2 linked regions of the Arabidopsis thaliana genome follow. The protein of the gene in region 2 interacts with the protein of the main gene of each other region in a biochemical or structural test. Each region holds a gene or a part of one and is shown on either strand. Other genes may lie near its edges.

The links.
Region 1: of the proteins of AGD5 (region 2) and MC9, one has a biochemical effect on the other in vitro, tested with the Arabidopsis thaliana proteins (one large-scale study listed by BioGRID).

The regions. Positions count from the first base shown.
Region 1 is NC_003076.8:1,151,509-1,157,033, reverse strand, and holds MC9 (metacaspase 9), read right to left. Parts: upstream 3,295-5,525; 5' UTR 3,142-3,294; coding exon 2,164-3,141; 3' UTR 1,994-2,163; downstream 1-1,993. Other genes in the region: SYTC (Calcium-dependent lipid-binding (CaLB domain) family protein), read left to right, coding at 1-186, 269-625, 707-835, 921-1,049; AT5G04210 (CCCH-type zinc fingerfamily protein with RNA-binding domain-containing protein), read left to right, coding at 1,310-1,455, 1,544-1,979; PKS4 (phytochrome kinase substrate 4), read right to left, coding at 4,700-5,525. UniProt on the Arabidopsis thaliana protein: Cysteine protease that cleaves specifically after arginine or lysine residues. Does not cleave caspase-specific substrates. Required for proteolytic processing of GRI.
Region 2 is NC_003076.8:22,055,591-22,064,104, forward strand, and holds AGD5 (ARF-GAP domain 5), read right to left. Parts: upstream 5,681-8,514; 5' UTR 5,477-5,680; coding exon 5,426-5,476; intron 4,609-5,425; coding exon 4,550-4,608; intron 4,463-4,549; coding exon 4,372-4,462; intron 3,973-4,371; coding exon 3,918-3,972; intron 3,832-3,917; coding exon 3,741-3,831; intron 3,624-3,740; coding exon 3,392-3,623; intron 3,126-3,391; coding exon 2,912-3,125; intron 2,778-2,911; coding exon 2,605-2,777; intron 2,380-2,604; coding exon 2,140-2,379; intron 2,031-2,139; coding exon 1,954-2,030; intron 1,841-1,953; coding exon 1,672-1,840; 3' UTR 1,396-1,671; downstream 1-1,395. Other genes in the region: AT5G54320 (hypothetical protein (DUF295)), read left to right, coding at 7,215-8,324. UniProt on the Arabidopsis thaliana protein: GTPase-activating protein (GAP) for ADP ribosylation factor (ARF). Mediates clathrin-dependent trafficking of vacuolar cargo from the trans-Golgi network (TGN). Promotes plant growth.

The sequences.
Region 1 (5,525 bases), about 21 Mb from region 2:
AAGAAGGATTTGTTGGGAACATCCGACCCTTATGTCAAGCTTAGCTTAACTGGAGAAAAGCTTCCAGCAAAGAAAACCACCATAAAGAAGAGGAACTTAAACCCGGAATGGAACGAACACTTTAAGCTCATCGTCAAGGACCCAAACTCACAAGTCCTTCAACTAGAAGTCTTTGACTGGGACAAGGTCCATGCATCTAATGATCCCATTTCTTCTCTAGTTCAACATTTTATGCCATTCTTACTAAAGCGGCTCTGTATCTGTATAGGTCGGTGGGCACGACAGATTAGGAATGCAGATGATCCCTTTGCAAAAGATTAACCCGGGTGAGAGGAAGGAGTTTAATCTTGATCTGATTAAGAACTCAAATGTTGTTATGGATTCTGGAGACAAGAAAAAAAGAGGAAGATTAGAGGTTGATCTCAGGTATGTGCCATTCAGAGAAGAAAGCATTAAGCGTAGAAAAGAGAGCAGAGAAGAGAAATCATCAGAGGACGATGATTTTCTCAGCCAAGCCGGTCTACTCTCGGTTGCAGTCCAATCTGCAAAAGATGTCGAGGGCAAGAAGAAACACTCGAACCCTTATGCTGTTGTTCTCTTCAGAGGAGAAAAGAAGAAAACTAAGGTAAAATTCTAAATCTGCATTTTGCTGAGAAGCTACTTAAGAACTATTTTGAGTTATATTGGCTACCTTTTTCTTGATCAGATGCTGAAGAAAACACGAGACCCTCGATGGAACGAGGAATTCCAGTTTACACTAGAGGAGCCTCCAGTGAAAGAGAGTATACGCGTTGAGGTCATGAGTAAAGGAACCGGCTTTCACTTTCGATCCAAGGTAAAGATCTCATGCCTGTTAAAATCTCTGTTAAAGCAGACAGAGACATTTCAACTTATTATACCTTTGCTTAATCTCTGTATAGGAGGAACTAGGACATGTAGACATAAATCTGGACGATGTAGTTGACAATGGAAGGATCAACCAGAAATACCATCTTATCAATTCCAGAAACGGCATTATTCACATTGAGATCCGTTGGACAACTAGTTAACAAAACTGATAACAATTCTGGCATGAAGTTTTGTTCTAGTATGGCCTTTGTAAAATCTTGCATGTACTTGATCAAAATCATATAATTTTAATAAAATTTCGAAGTACATATTAAATGTTGATGTTTTCTGTACGTACGTATATTGGAGTAAATCTTCTTCTTATGTTTTAGGAATTAGTTAGCGCTACCAATTTCGTCTAGTTGCTTGTATCTACGTGGTCTGGTGATATATTGATTGTTTGTCTTCAATGTAGTTTTTTATGGCCCAAATTGAGGATAAAAGTAGGAAACTAGACTGCATACCAATTTGTCCTTTATTCGACGCTGGTCGCCAGTGTACAAGAGGTACCATGTGTCTATACCGCCATGAGATCAACAGAGGCTTAGATTGTCATGGTCGTTCTGGGTAAGCTATTCTACATACATATATAGATGTATATATATTCTCGAGTCTTTGTTTGTTTGTGTGTTTCATGTATTTTTCTTCACCGCAGGTTAGAAAACCCATTTGTACTCGAGGTGCTTGCAAGAGCTTGTAACACGGGCCCTTTGAAACCACCAGAGGATCAAAGTATTAAAACTCTTTACATCCGTAGACTTATTAACTCCAGTGTCCTCGAGCAGGACATCCGAGACCATTTCTGCCCCTATGGTGAAATCGAATCTATTGTTATCTTCCCCCACCGAGGAGGAGGCACCTGTGCCTTCCTCACTTACACTACCCGTCTAGCTGCTGAGAAGGCCATGCTTGAGCTCTCCTCCTGGACTGACATCAAAGGCCAGAGGGTTAAACTCTTGTGGGGACCTACTGAAAAATGGCAGCACAAAATGACTGGTGCTGCCATTTCTTCAACCCAAGAGGTTGGTTCTTCTAGCTCCAATACTGCTGACTTGGTAACTAAATTAGTACATTCTCTAGAAAAGCTTTAATTAAACCTTTTTGTACCATTAAAAAAGATAAATGTTATTAAACAAGTTTTATATGTCCTTTTTCCTTTTAGAGTACACCACAGAGAATAGAAAATACACACATTCCACCAGTTAACAATTTACAACAACCCCAAAGGCAAACGTGATAAAACAAATAAAAGAAAACAACGCAAACGTTTAAAATTCAAGGTTGAGAAAGGAACGTCGCGTCTGCGTTCTGGTCGCTGCAGTAGAGACAAGGGTGTTGATGAAACCCTAGTCTCTCAAGCACATCCCTTGCCATCATCACTAGTTGCTTGTTCTTCATGGCACCTTCATTTTCGTTCAACACCCTTTGAATCGCGTTGCTAAACGCTCCGTACGCTTTCCCGTTCCCAACGCCGACGTCAGCAGACGTCTCATCCGCCTGACACCCGCTCATCAATATCCCTGAGTCCACGTGTTTTTCACGGGCCGTCATAGTCTCCAAAAGATCCATTAGATCCATTGCCGGTAACCGAAACTTAAGACCAGCATCGCGGCCAAAGAGCTCAAGTAGATGTGTGCCGATGTCGGAAGTTGTAATTCCGGTGAGAGAACTCAAGTGGTCAAGGACTGCCTTGAAGGGCAAGGCACGTGATGTTATAGTCTTGTTCGTTGTCTCAATAGCCGGAGATATGTTGCTGGAGACCGAAGAGGGTCCGATCTGTTCTTTCTCCTTGTCGATGAGACCACCACTATGGCAAGAATCAGAGATCATGGTAAAGCTTGTTCCTTTAGGAAGTTGATTGACCAATTCTCGGAAATCAACATCTGTGATGAGATTGAAATCACAAGGAACAATAGCTTCGTCTTGTTTAAAAGGATGAGCAGATTTAACCGAAGGAATACGAGTTCCATGGCCACTGTAGTGGAAGAACAAGATGTCTCCAGATCCGGCTTGAGCTTTATCCACCATCCTACGTAGAGCAGCCTTGATGTTGGCACCTGTCGGCTTTACCTTTGATTCTGGCTCGTCCGTTAGCACCTCAATGTCGTCTTGTTTGAATCCGAAACGTGACAAAATAGTTTCTTTCATGGCTAGAACATCATTGATGCAACCGTGAAGCTCGTTCCTTGTGTTAGGGTAGTTGCAGCCGACGAGAACGGCTAGTCTTTTCTTGACCATCCCTTGTTGATCCATTGAGTTTCTGGATATGATTTCTTAAGGTTTAAGAGGTAATTTAAACAACTTTCTAGGCAAAATGTTTTGGGGTTTCTTGTGTACGTGTGTTTAGTTTTCATGTGCAGTGTTGTGGTTTTGGAGCTAATGTGTATTTATGATTGAGGTTTCGTGTAGTGAAGTTCAAGTTACATACGATATTAGTATTTATATTTTCAAGTCTAGTTTGCTTTTAAGCTATGGAACATTTTTTAATGGCTTACTCTTGACTTATTAATGCTTTCAAGCAAGAAACTAAACCTTAAATCAGACTTTTGAGAAAGACATAATTAATCCTAAGTCATGGATTCATGATTAATTTGGTTAACTTGGATATATACGTAACTTCAAAAGGGAAGTCATTTTCCCAAATATTTAGACCTAATCCATCTAGCTATCTAAGGGAAGAGAGGAGCTAATTAACTTTAAATGCTATGATATACGAATGTATATAACGTATACATTGTTGAAAATAATGTCAATTGACCAAACTATAATTTGCCTTAATCCTAAAGGACCGTCTATATACTTCGTGCACGCAACGGAAAAGTCTTTTTGAGACGAACCATTTATGCTATTAGCACCATCTTCACTTCACCTACGAGCCTAACTCTTGACTTCATATTTACAAGTTATATCCCCAAAAAAGAAATCAAACTTTCAATGGTAAACTCTTTAACAAAATAAAAAGCATTCAAATTAAAAGATAAAGCTTTTAGTAAACGAAAGACTAATCAGAAATTAAACGTCTTCATCAACTGAGAATTTTTCTTTTTGGTTTTATGTGATAAAAACACATGCTGGATTATGTTTTTAACAAATAAACAAAACTAAATCGATGACCAATACTACAGTCTGTTTATTGCATAAAGTTGTTTATATTCCTATGCATGCATTTATTATCTCTTGGGTAACGGCTTGGAATCATCTCCCAAGTTCCCAACTCGTGATAGATTAAGGAATTGGGGCATGAATATTCTTGAAATTTTTGTCTCCTCTGTAATGCACCTGAATCCAAGAACCACTTGTTTTCTGAATGTACCTACAACAAAGACACATGGGGCATCTTCTTTTGCTCAATTCAGCCCGCCTACAATCTTTGAAGATTGATGTTTCCATGGGACCTCAAAGAAGTAGTGGATGAGGTTTCTAAAGAAAGAAATCGTATAACCAAGTGTTTTGTGGTCCATTGGTTTGTTCGAGTGGATAGAGGATTCGCTATGTGGGTCAAGGCTACGAATCTATTTCTTGACTATAGACGCCTTAAATACAACATACAAGTATTGAGGATTAGTTTGGGTTTCACTCCGGGATTTACTCCGGTTATTACAAAAAAATGTGATCAATATTGTGATAAATACAGGACACATTGATTTTGTTTACTTCACAAACCATAATCTTCATTAATCATTACACAAGTTATATTAACCAAAAAAAAGAAGAAGAAAAAACAGAGCAATTTTACACGAGAAGCATCCAAAACACACCAAGATAACTGGAGAAAACCGGATCTAAACCAAGAACAAAGATTTGGTATCCATCATTGCCTTGGTCTACTCGTCACGCTTAGTTTAGAACTGCCATTGTTGCACAACACCTTTCCCGCGACGTCGTTTTGAACACCAACGCTCTTAACCGGTTGCACTAAACGCTTATCGCCGTTAACCATAACCGCCTTCTCACAATGACAGTTCAACAAACCGGTTCTCTTCTTATCGTAACCACTAAATGCTGTAGACGATGACGACAAGGCAATTCTTGAGAAGTTAGCTGCAACGGCCGAGGCCGGCTCGGCGGTCATAACGCTCCAAGTAACACTTGCTTCGCTTGGCTCGTAACCGTACTCAGACACGGTCTCTTCCATCGAGTCCCGTACTGGTGGAGCCCATGGACGAGCTGCGGTTTGAGTAGAGAAGCTCTCTATCTCAAAAAGATCGGAGCTTGCGTCGCTTGTGGCTTCTTCGTCTATGATGACTCCCTTGGGACTCGTAGGATTCAGAACCGGTTTAATCGGAAGCAGAGCCGGTTCAATTCGTACCGGTTTAATATGATTCAAAACCGGATTCTTGGGATTTTCTGATAATTGTGAAGTTTCGTTTAGAGTTGGGAAGCTAAAATTACTAACTGGAGCTCTAGCTTCTTTGTTTGCAGTGTAATCGATGGACCGAGTCACAGTGTTTGAAGGGATCGTTAATCTTATTGGCTCAGGTGAAGATATCGTCTGATGACTATGAACTATTCGGTTCGAGACGATTCGGTCAGAACCGGTTTTGGGCACTGCGATTCTTGGTTTGGATTCTTGGACCTGAACGGACTTGGAGCTAGAACATGGACAAGCCCTGCGTCTAAAAAACCATCTTGGTCCT
Region 2 (8,514 bases):
TTTGGGTTTTGACGTTTTAAGTTATAAACTTATAATATAAGCTTGCCTAACATTTGCAACAAGATTTTGACAATAGAAGTACAATATTTTATGCATTGTGTGTGATTAGAGAATTTGAGATTCGAGAATCTGCCACCTACGTACCAAGTCGTACCGTTGATTTTTGTTTTTTCACTTGGCAACAAAAAATTTAGTCGATTGTGTCTTCATTTTATTTATTTTTTTGGGGAGAAATTTCGAGTCTTCATTAGTTCATTTTATGTATGTTAGTGTTAATTTGAGTTTAGCCGATCTAGAAGATATTTGTAAATGGAAATATTCTTTTTTGGTTTTGTTATTGTAAAATTATATAATTGTAAAAAAGTTATGGTTGCTAGCAAAAAAAAACAAAGTAGTTACTGTTGAGCTAGGATTTTTAGGTAATGTAGGCCATTTTTCATTGACATTGTAAAATTAATAGTTGAAAGTCATAGTGAGAATGCGAATTATGATGCATGTGAATACTGTTTTAGATAAGGACATGCAGATTGTAACATAAAATAATTGAGATAGATGCATACGTATATATCATTCTCAATGCTAAACGTTCAATTTTGTTTTCATATTAGTGCTTATATTAATAGTAGATTTGATTTGACAATTCAAACTCACGAAAGATATATATCGCATTACGGGTCAACAAGCACAACAAAATTCTACCGACCATTTTGGATTTTTGTACTTGATACTGATTGATCTTCTTATGCATCATAAATATTGGCTATATCCTCTACATAGTATAATAGAACTTAAACTTTAAACTTCTGCCCTAAGGTCGGTACAAGTCCGACATGGTATTTTTGTTATAATAACCAAATGAGTAATGCTAAAGTCCAACGTGGTGTTTTAGTTTATGTTTGCATTAGATCAAGGACGATGTACGTGTAAGAGAAAACCAAAAAAAATGCAAGAAAATAATATAATTAAATACAATGTAGTGCACAACTTCATTTGTTGTGCTTTGTGATCAAGCGAGGATTTGTAGAAATGGTATTTACAGATTTACGTTGTCATCATTGATTACAGTTTTGCATTTTGTAGCTAATAAAACATCTTGTAACGAAAAAGGTAAACAAAGGTTGGCTAGTGGGAGGTACACAAGCTTGTGGTGAAGAAGGAGGATGAGCTTTAAGCCATTTGACCGAAAGCCCGACAATGCCAAACTCAAAACTTTATAACGCTAAAACAGCCGCCCATAACAAGAAACAAGTTCAATATCAACACGTCGCCTTTATTGATCTTACCAATAAAGGTCGATTAATTTGTTTTCTTTCAAAGGCTTTTCGGAACCGTTTCTTTGTTTTGCTTAGTTCCAAAAAATTGGTATGTCACAAACTTCGTACCAAAGCAAATAAAAGCAGTAAGTGGAAGAGAACAATCCACGTTTTGTGGCGGTCTCACCGATAAATCTTTTTTTTTTTTCCTTTCTTAGCAAGAATTACATCTATTAATTTTTCGACAATCGAGTAAAATCATAAATCAAAGCTCGGCTACAACACAGTTCCAAAGAAAAGAAAATATATGTTTAACAGAGAAAAACTGTCCAGAGATGATTGTATATATATTCTTTTGGTTCTTCAAATTTAGAACAAAGATGTAAAGGCAAATTCAGAAAAAGTCTCTCTCTCTTGATCAATGTTTTGTGAACATTCCATCCATCAAGGAAGAGAAATCAAAGTCTTTGCCTGATTGTGAAGATGGTGTGGTGCTTGTTGGTTGGGTTGCGGATGATGACTGAGGTTTACCGGTTGAGTTTGGGGTCATACCGTTCACTTGATTAGCTTGACCCATTGTGTAGAAACTGCATTATTAATAACAACCAAAGATCATATGAGAGTTAGTTAGGTTAAGCACTTTTGATAACGTTATGATGTTTTCAGAAGAAACAAACAAGATGCAGTTTTGTGTGCATACCTGGATGATGGGTATTGTAGAGTGTTCTCTTGCGGTTGTGCGGGTCTCGTGTTCATGTTTGCGTTCATATTCATGTTCTAAAATTATGGCGATGTAACAGAGAGCAAGAATTAGTGAGAATTTTGCAAGAACTTTGGTCAATGGTAATATTGATCTTGCTTAAAAAAAGTAAAGGGGAGATCTTACTTGCATAAGTTTCTGGAGATCAGCTTGACCACCTACGGGGTTAGTCATTCCGGGGATCTGGTAGCCGCCGGGGTTTGACCAATTTGCAGAAGCTACGTTAAGAGCATTAGCAATAGCTTGTTGATTCACGCCGTTTGGAGTGCCTCCAGCAGCTTTCGCTGCAGCCATGTAAAGGGCTTGCTGCTGAGCGAGCATAGCAACCTGTTGCTGATGCATGGCAAAAGGCGATACTATATTCGTCTGTAATCAAATAGAACACACAGAGTTATATCACTTGAATCTGCTCTGGTGTTCCAAATGTCCCGTGTTGAAGAAATCATAGTAAGTGATAACAAAACACAAATCATATCATTCGCTATATTTGTAAATGTAAGTTAAATAATGATACAAAAACGAAACTTGGAAAGCTGAATATCAACAAAGCAGTGAAATCTGAGAAGCGTATATAATTAACTAATAATTTACCTTCTCAAACAGGCTCATGATATCGCCTTTCACATCTTTTGGTGCTTGTTGAGTTGTTAAATTAGGTGTGTCCTTAAACAAATCCTCAAAGTCAGAAGATGAAGCTGGAGGAGAACTGCTCTCAGCAGGCTTGGCTGTGACAATTTTCTCTGCCGTTTGACCACTTCCAGCAGCTACAGTTTTAGGATTCAGAAATTAATCTATTACTCCAAAGCATTTTCAAAAGAAGAACAATTGACATAAAGTTAACAAGGATAGGAAAAATGTGCCACGATGTTAGATTATCACATGCTAGATAGATACATACACTGAAAGCCAGCCCATGAGTTATCATCGGCAGGAGTATCGCCAGGAGTTGCCTCTGAGGTATTTGTAGTCGAATCATCCATTGATAGCATGTTAAACAGATCAGTAGCAAAATCCACCTTTGGAGGATCTGATGCTGGTGCAACATTTACTGCTTGTTTCTCCCTCTCTACTGGAGTAGCTGCAGACTCCATTTTCTGCTGTGGCTTTATAACCTGTCATTTTTAGCATCATGTATCAGAAAAACCAGGGTTTGGATACTGTAAGAAAGACACGTTGACAGATTATGAGGCTCTAAAAACACAGTGAGTAAAATAATGATCTGACAGCTACAGCATATGCATTGACAAAAATAATGATCTCATAGCTGATATCCTAAGATTATTAAATAAGATCAAGGAATACGGATCCTTAATACTGATGAGTAACTAAAGGTATGGCTCTTTAGTTATACAGATCTTCTGAGAAGTATGTTTGGTACCTGACTGGGTCCTTGGGGAGGCACGGGAAGATTTATTCTCGTTGCAGCAACATTATTTCTTGTTCTAGATGCTGGAATAGTTTTCCTCTCCTCAAACAAATTTACAGGACTACTACTATGTCCATGCTCATATCCCGGCCCACTTCTCTCCACAGATTTCCGCCGTTCCTGCTCGACTCTAGGAGGTGATCTAGCCTTTTCCCCTCTAGAAACCCATCTCTTCTCTTCATACCTAGAAAAGTCATATGTCATAAGAATGATTTCAACGTCCATATGAATAGCAAGATAGACAATTCAATGAGGTGGAACTAACTGAAAAGTTTGTATAATGAAAAAGAGAGATACATACTTTGCACGTATAAAATTCTCAATTCCAACTCTATCATAGTTTGGGGGTAGCTCTGCTTCCCAGTAACTATTTGCTTTATCATTTCCCATTGCTGCATGCAAATAAAAGATTATATACTTTACATTGCGTAACAACCCATGAATCAGCCATAGAGCATTTAGTTTAAAAGACACTTACACTGTATAAATGCAACCTGCTCGGGGAGCCATGTGTCCAGAGTGGCAGATCGAACCTGCACTCATTAGCCCAGTCAGGTGTTTTGGTAGAAAATAAAGTAGCTTATGCTGCTAAGGTTAACATCTACTTGACAAAAGGACACGGCTCATACAAAAATCAGAGGGCGAAATCAAATCATGTACTTTTGCACAGAGTTGCTTGAAGTTCGTGTGTAAACTGTATCGACGACAATGGGAGTACAAGAAGGTGGGGAGATTTAATGCATTCATGTCAAACTTTCCAGCTCTTGTGATGGAAAATACAAAATGAAATTGCTAATACAAAAACCAAATTGAAAATTTGTGCAGAGAATTTGAGCCAAATGGAATGAGTTATTCATCGAATTAATATCTGAGCTTTCGTAAAAAAATGCAGCATCAAGAAAACAAATGTAGAAAGGAAAGTGAGAGACTACCTTCGATATGTGTACCCCGAGACTCCTGTGAATCCCAGAACATTGCATGCAGATAAAGATACCTAAATTAACACTAGCCCATCTTGGACCTCTGCAAAGCAAATGGAACAGTATTAGCAAATACATACATGAACCAGCATAATAATGCTGAAAATTCACATCAGGTAGAAAACTATACTTTGTTTTGCAGTCAGCACATTCTCTGTTCTCTGGATGTTTAAGAAGCCCTTCAAGAATCTGCAGATAAGTAGCACCAAAATCAAATGAATATTCAAGCAATAGACTACATAAACGAAAAAATCATACGTCGCAAAACATAAAGAAGAATCTACACATACAAAATATAGAGTATCTCAAGAAAACTTCAAAATTATCAGAATTGACATGTTTAACTAACCAAAATGAATCAAAGTTCTCATTGCAGTATGAGATAAGTTTCGTCAATGAATGAACACCAAAGTTCTCGAAGACTCGACATACAACATCATTCCTAATATCCTATACATGTATGCATCACCAATCCCACAAAGCTATCCCAACTACAACTAATAGTTTCAACATGGCAAATAACTCAAAGACTACCAAGCACAAATGAAAATCCCTATGGGACGCTAAGCTCCTTGGATCCCTGTGTTCGATTCTTTCCAAAATCAAACAATTGAATACGAATTTCTATAGGAAAACACTAGAATTCAAGCTCCATGAAACTGTAACATTCAATAAGCCGACGTTGAATATAAAACAATTCAAAAACCCGATCGTGATCAACTATTGTCCTAGACAACAAATCGAAATAGAGAAACTGATTTTCATTGCTGATGAATAATAATTCTAGCTCAATCGATCGAAGAAGATAAGGATCGACGATACAAATCCTCTCCTAACTAGAGGAAACCGAAGAAAATGAAGGAAGGATAGCTGCTAATGCACAGATCCAATCGAATTAAGATCGATCATATATTGTTGGCAACCAAATTCAAATATATGACGACAAATCCACAAAGCTCGGAGAAAATAAAATAAGAGAATCTGAGATTCGAGATTAGAGAGAGACCTTTCTATGGCGGGCATTAAGCTCCTTAGAGACGTTGGCTTTCTCGTTCATGGCGGATAGATAAAATCAAAAGAAGGAGAATCGGAGAAAGAGGAAGAAGAAGAGCTGAAGAAAAATGATCTACGGAGACGACGAGGTCAAAATAGTCTTTTCCGCCTTCAGCGCTCTTCAATATCTCTCTCTTCTTCTTCCTCTCCGAAAATTAAAAATCCTTTTTTCTTTGCCCTTTGAGAACGAGCGACCAAGAGAGAGAGATGGGTCAATACTTTTTGGACCGTTCAGATTATGGTACTGGTTTATTAATCCGGTTTTAGATTTCATTTTCAAAATTGAATATGGTTCGGTTTAATTTCATTTCGGTTTAAATTTTCAAAAATAATTCGGTCACTCGTGATTGCAGCACCTGAAAATTTTCAAAGAAATCTACACATGAATATTTGTGAAAGTGTAATCATATAAAATTGGTTAATTTGTGACTAAGTGGGTTTTGATTTATCAAAAATAAGGTCGGTTTATTTGGCGGTTTAAGTGGTTTTTTTGATTGGTCATATATAAGCATTAGAGTGTTGCGGGTGGAAAATAAATCACATGGCCATCTCATCACCTGTTATGTCTGTATCCACTTTGGAGTGGTTGTTGTATTGATTCCAATTTCTTTGTTTATTTATGTGATGTTTATGGGACATATTTTATTTGCTAAGATTTTTATTTGATGTGACGATGAGTCAACGAATGTTCCAACCAACACAAATTTCAATTTAAACCCAAAAAAATAATTATATTATTATCTCTTAGATTCCTAATTTTTCAAACTGATATTTGTTTGTCAATACGAACTATAATCCTAACATTCGACAAACTCTAATTTAATAGGTATACATTAGGAACTATAATACATTGTGTGTGAATAAACCTAAAAAAGTTTTGTAGTCTAATGAGAAGTGGTCTCTCGCTGGCTCTAAACCTCATAATCGGTTTGGTCTAAGTAGCACCTTTACTTATCTGTATGTGGAATATCATCGGGAGTTATCACAAATATAATCCCAAAGCCTTTTGAAATTTCTAACTTCTCTAACTTCATCCACATATATATACTTTCCAATTTTGAAAATATATAGATCCACTTAGTATATTTCCATTTTAAGTCGCCATTAGAAGAGAGTTATGCTACCAACTTTGGCAATTAATATGCTTTTTAGGGGATGTGACGTCGCGATTATGATGGGATGAGCTTGGAAATATATGATCATCATAGCCATCTCTCTTTGTTATCAGTGCGAGGACCAACTTTTCAGGAGGATATTTGCACATCTAGAAGGAAGATTTTTCTCATATAGTAAATAGACGACTGCTTATTTTTGCTTCTCGAATTACTCTCCATAGCCTCTCTTCAAGTATTCTCAGATCTCAAACCCTCTGACACGTATAGAGACTTCCCCACATTTTGCAAACTTTAATTTCTTCTTAATCAGACTTAGCTTCAAGCTTTATCTCAATCATGTACATCTCACATTGTTTTTCTAAAATTTGAGGATATTGATTCTGGAGTATGTATTGTTATGTAAATAAGTATTTATAATTAAATCAAGTATATGGAAAATATATTCGAAGAAACAAACTTCATATAATAAGGTTTGAACGTGGTTAATTAAAATGATATCCAATTAAGATTGTATCGGATCTTGGTGGTTATTTATGTGAACATCTCAACAACTAGGGTTTTGTTTTGTTTACTCTTTCTTATTTGATTCTCTTGCAGCCTCGCTTTCCCCTAAAACACTTCTTATCAATGGCGCTGCTTCTCAACCAACCCTTGAAGCTACTATGCTTTCGGAGGAAACCTGTGTTGGTGAGATCATCTCCTCTTCTCTCTAATGATGGCTTATCATCTTCTTTGCTGCAAACTCCTCCTTGTTTCGTCGTCAGCGCTAAACGTTGTGGAAGACTTGCGAAAGAGGGAAAACTCGTGATTTTGAATCCTTATGAAGATGAATGCACTTCTTTGGATAAGAAGGTGCCTATGGCGTTGTTGTATGATAATGAACTTGTAACCATCGGTTCATCCCATGGCTGGATAGCTACTTTGAGTCAGGACGACGGACTACTGCGTCTCCAAGACGATCTAAACCCGGTTGCATCGGATACTAACCCGAAACGCATTCCCCTGCCTCCTCTTGTAACTCTCCCTCATTGCCAAACTCAAATCGTTACCAATGTGTCATTGTCCGCATCTTCTCCTGAGGATGAAGACTGTGTTGTGGCTGTCAAGTTTTTGGGACCTCAGCTCAGCTTTTGCAGACCGGCTCAAAGTAACTCCGAGTGGATCAACATCAGAATCGAAAACCCTTGTTTCTACTTATCTCGTGTCATGTACTCCAAGAAAGATAACATGTTTTGCATTCCCGGATCTGGAGGACACCTCATTGGAACATGGGATCTCCGCACACACAAGCATAATTTGCAGAGCTTGCAGTTTCAAAACCTTCCCAAGCTGACAAAGACCAAACAGAAGCTACTGGATTCATGTTGCAAGAGCGAGCACTTGGTTGAGTCACCAGCTGGTGAAACTTTCTTGGTTAAGTGGTACAAGAAGTCTTCAAGCAAGATCATCAAGGGTATTGCGCAAATGAAAACACAAGCTTTAATGGTGTTCAAGCTTGACGAACAAGGAAACGCGGTTTACACTCAAGATATTGGAGATCTCTGCATTTTTCTTTCAAAGTCTGAACCTTTTTGTGTCCTTGCTAGCTCTTTTCCCGGACTGTGCCCTAACAATGTCATACTCTTTGACTGTGACGAAGGCGGCTTTTTCGATCTGGATGATTCCACCATCATTACTGATGTGATGCCTACATCATTCAAAAGCAATTACCTTATGCCACCCCAAAAACTAGATTAGTACCGTAGTTTGGAACTGAGTCTTTTCTTTTCTTCTCCTATATTATTACCATGGTCATCATTGGTAATGGTCACTAGTTTTATCTTGGAACGGAACCCTTTGTTTAGTTCCATCCTAAATCTCTATTTGCTTAGTTACATCATGAGTCTGCTTTTGGTTTTCAACAGGTTCTTTTCTACTACCTTTGTGT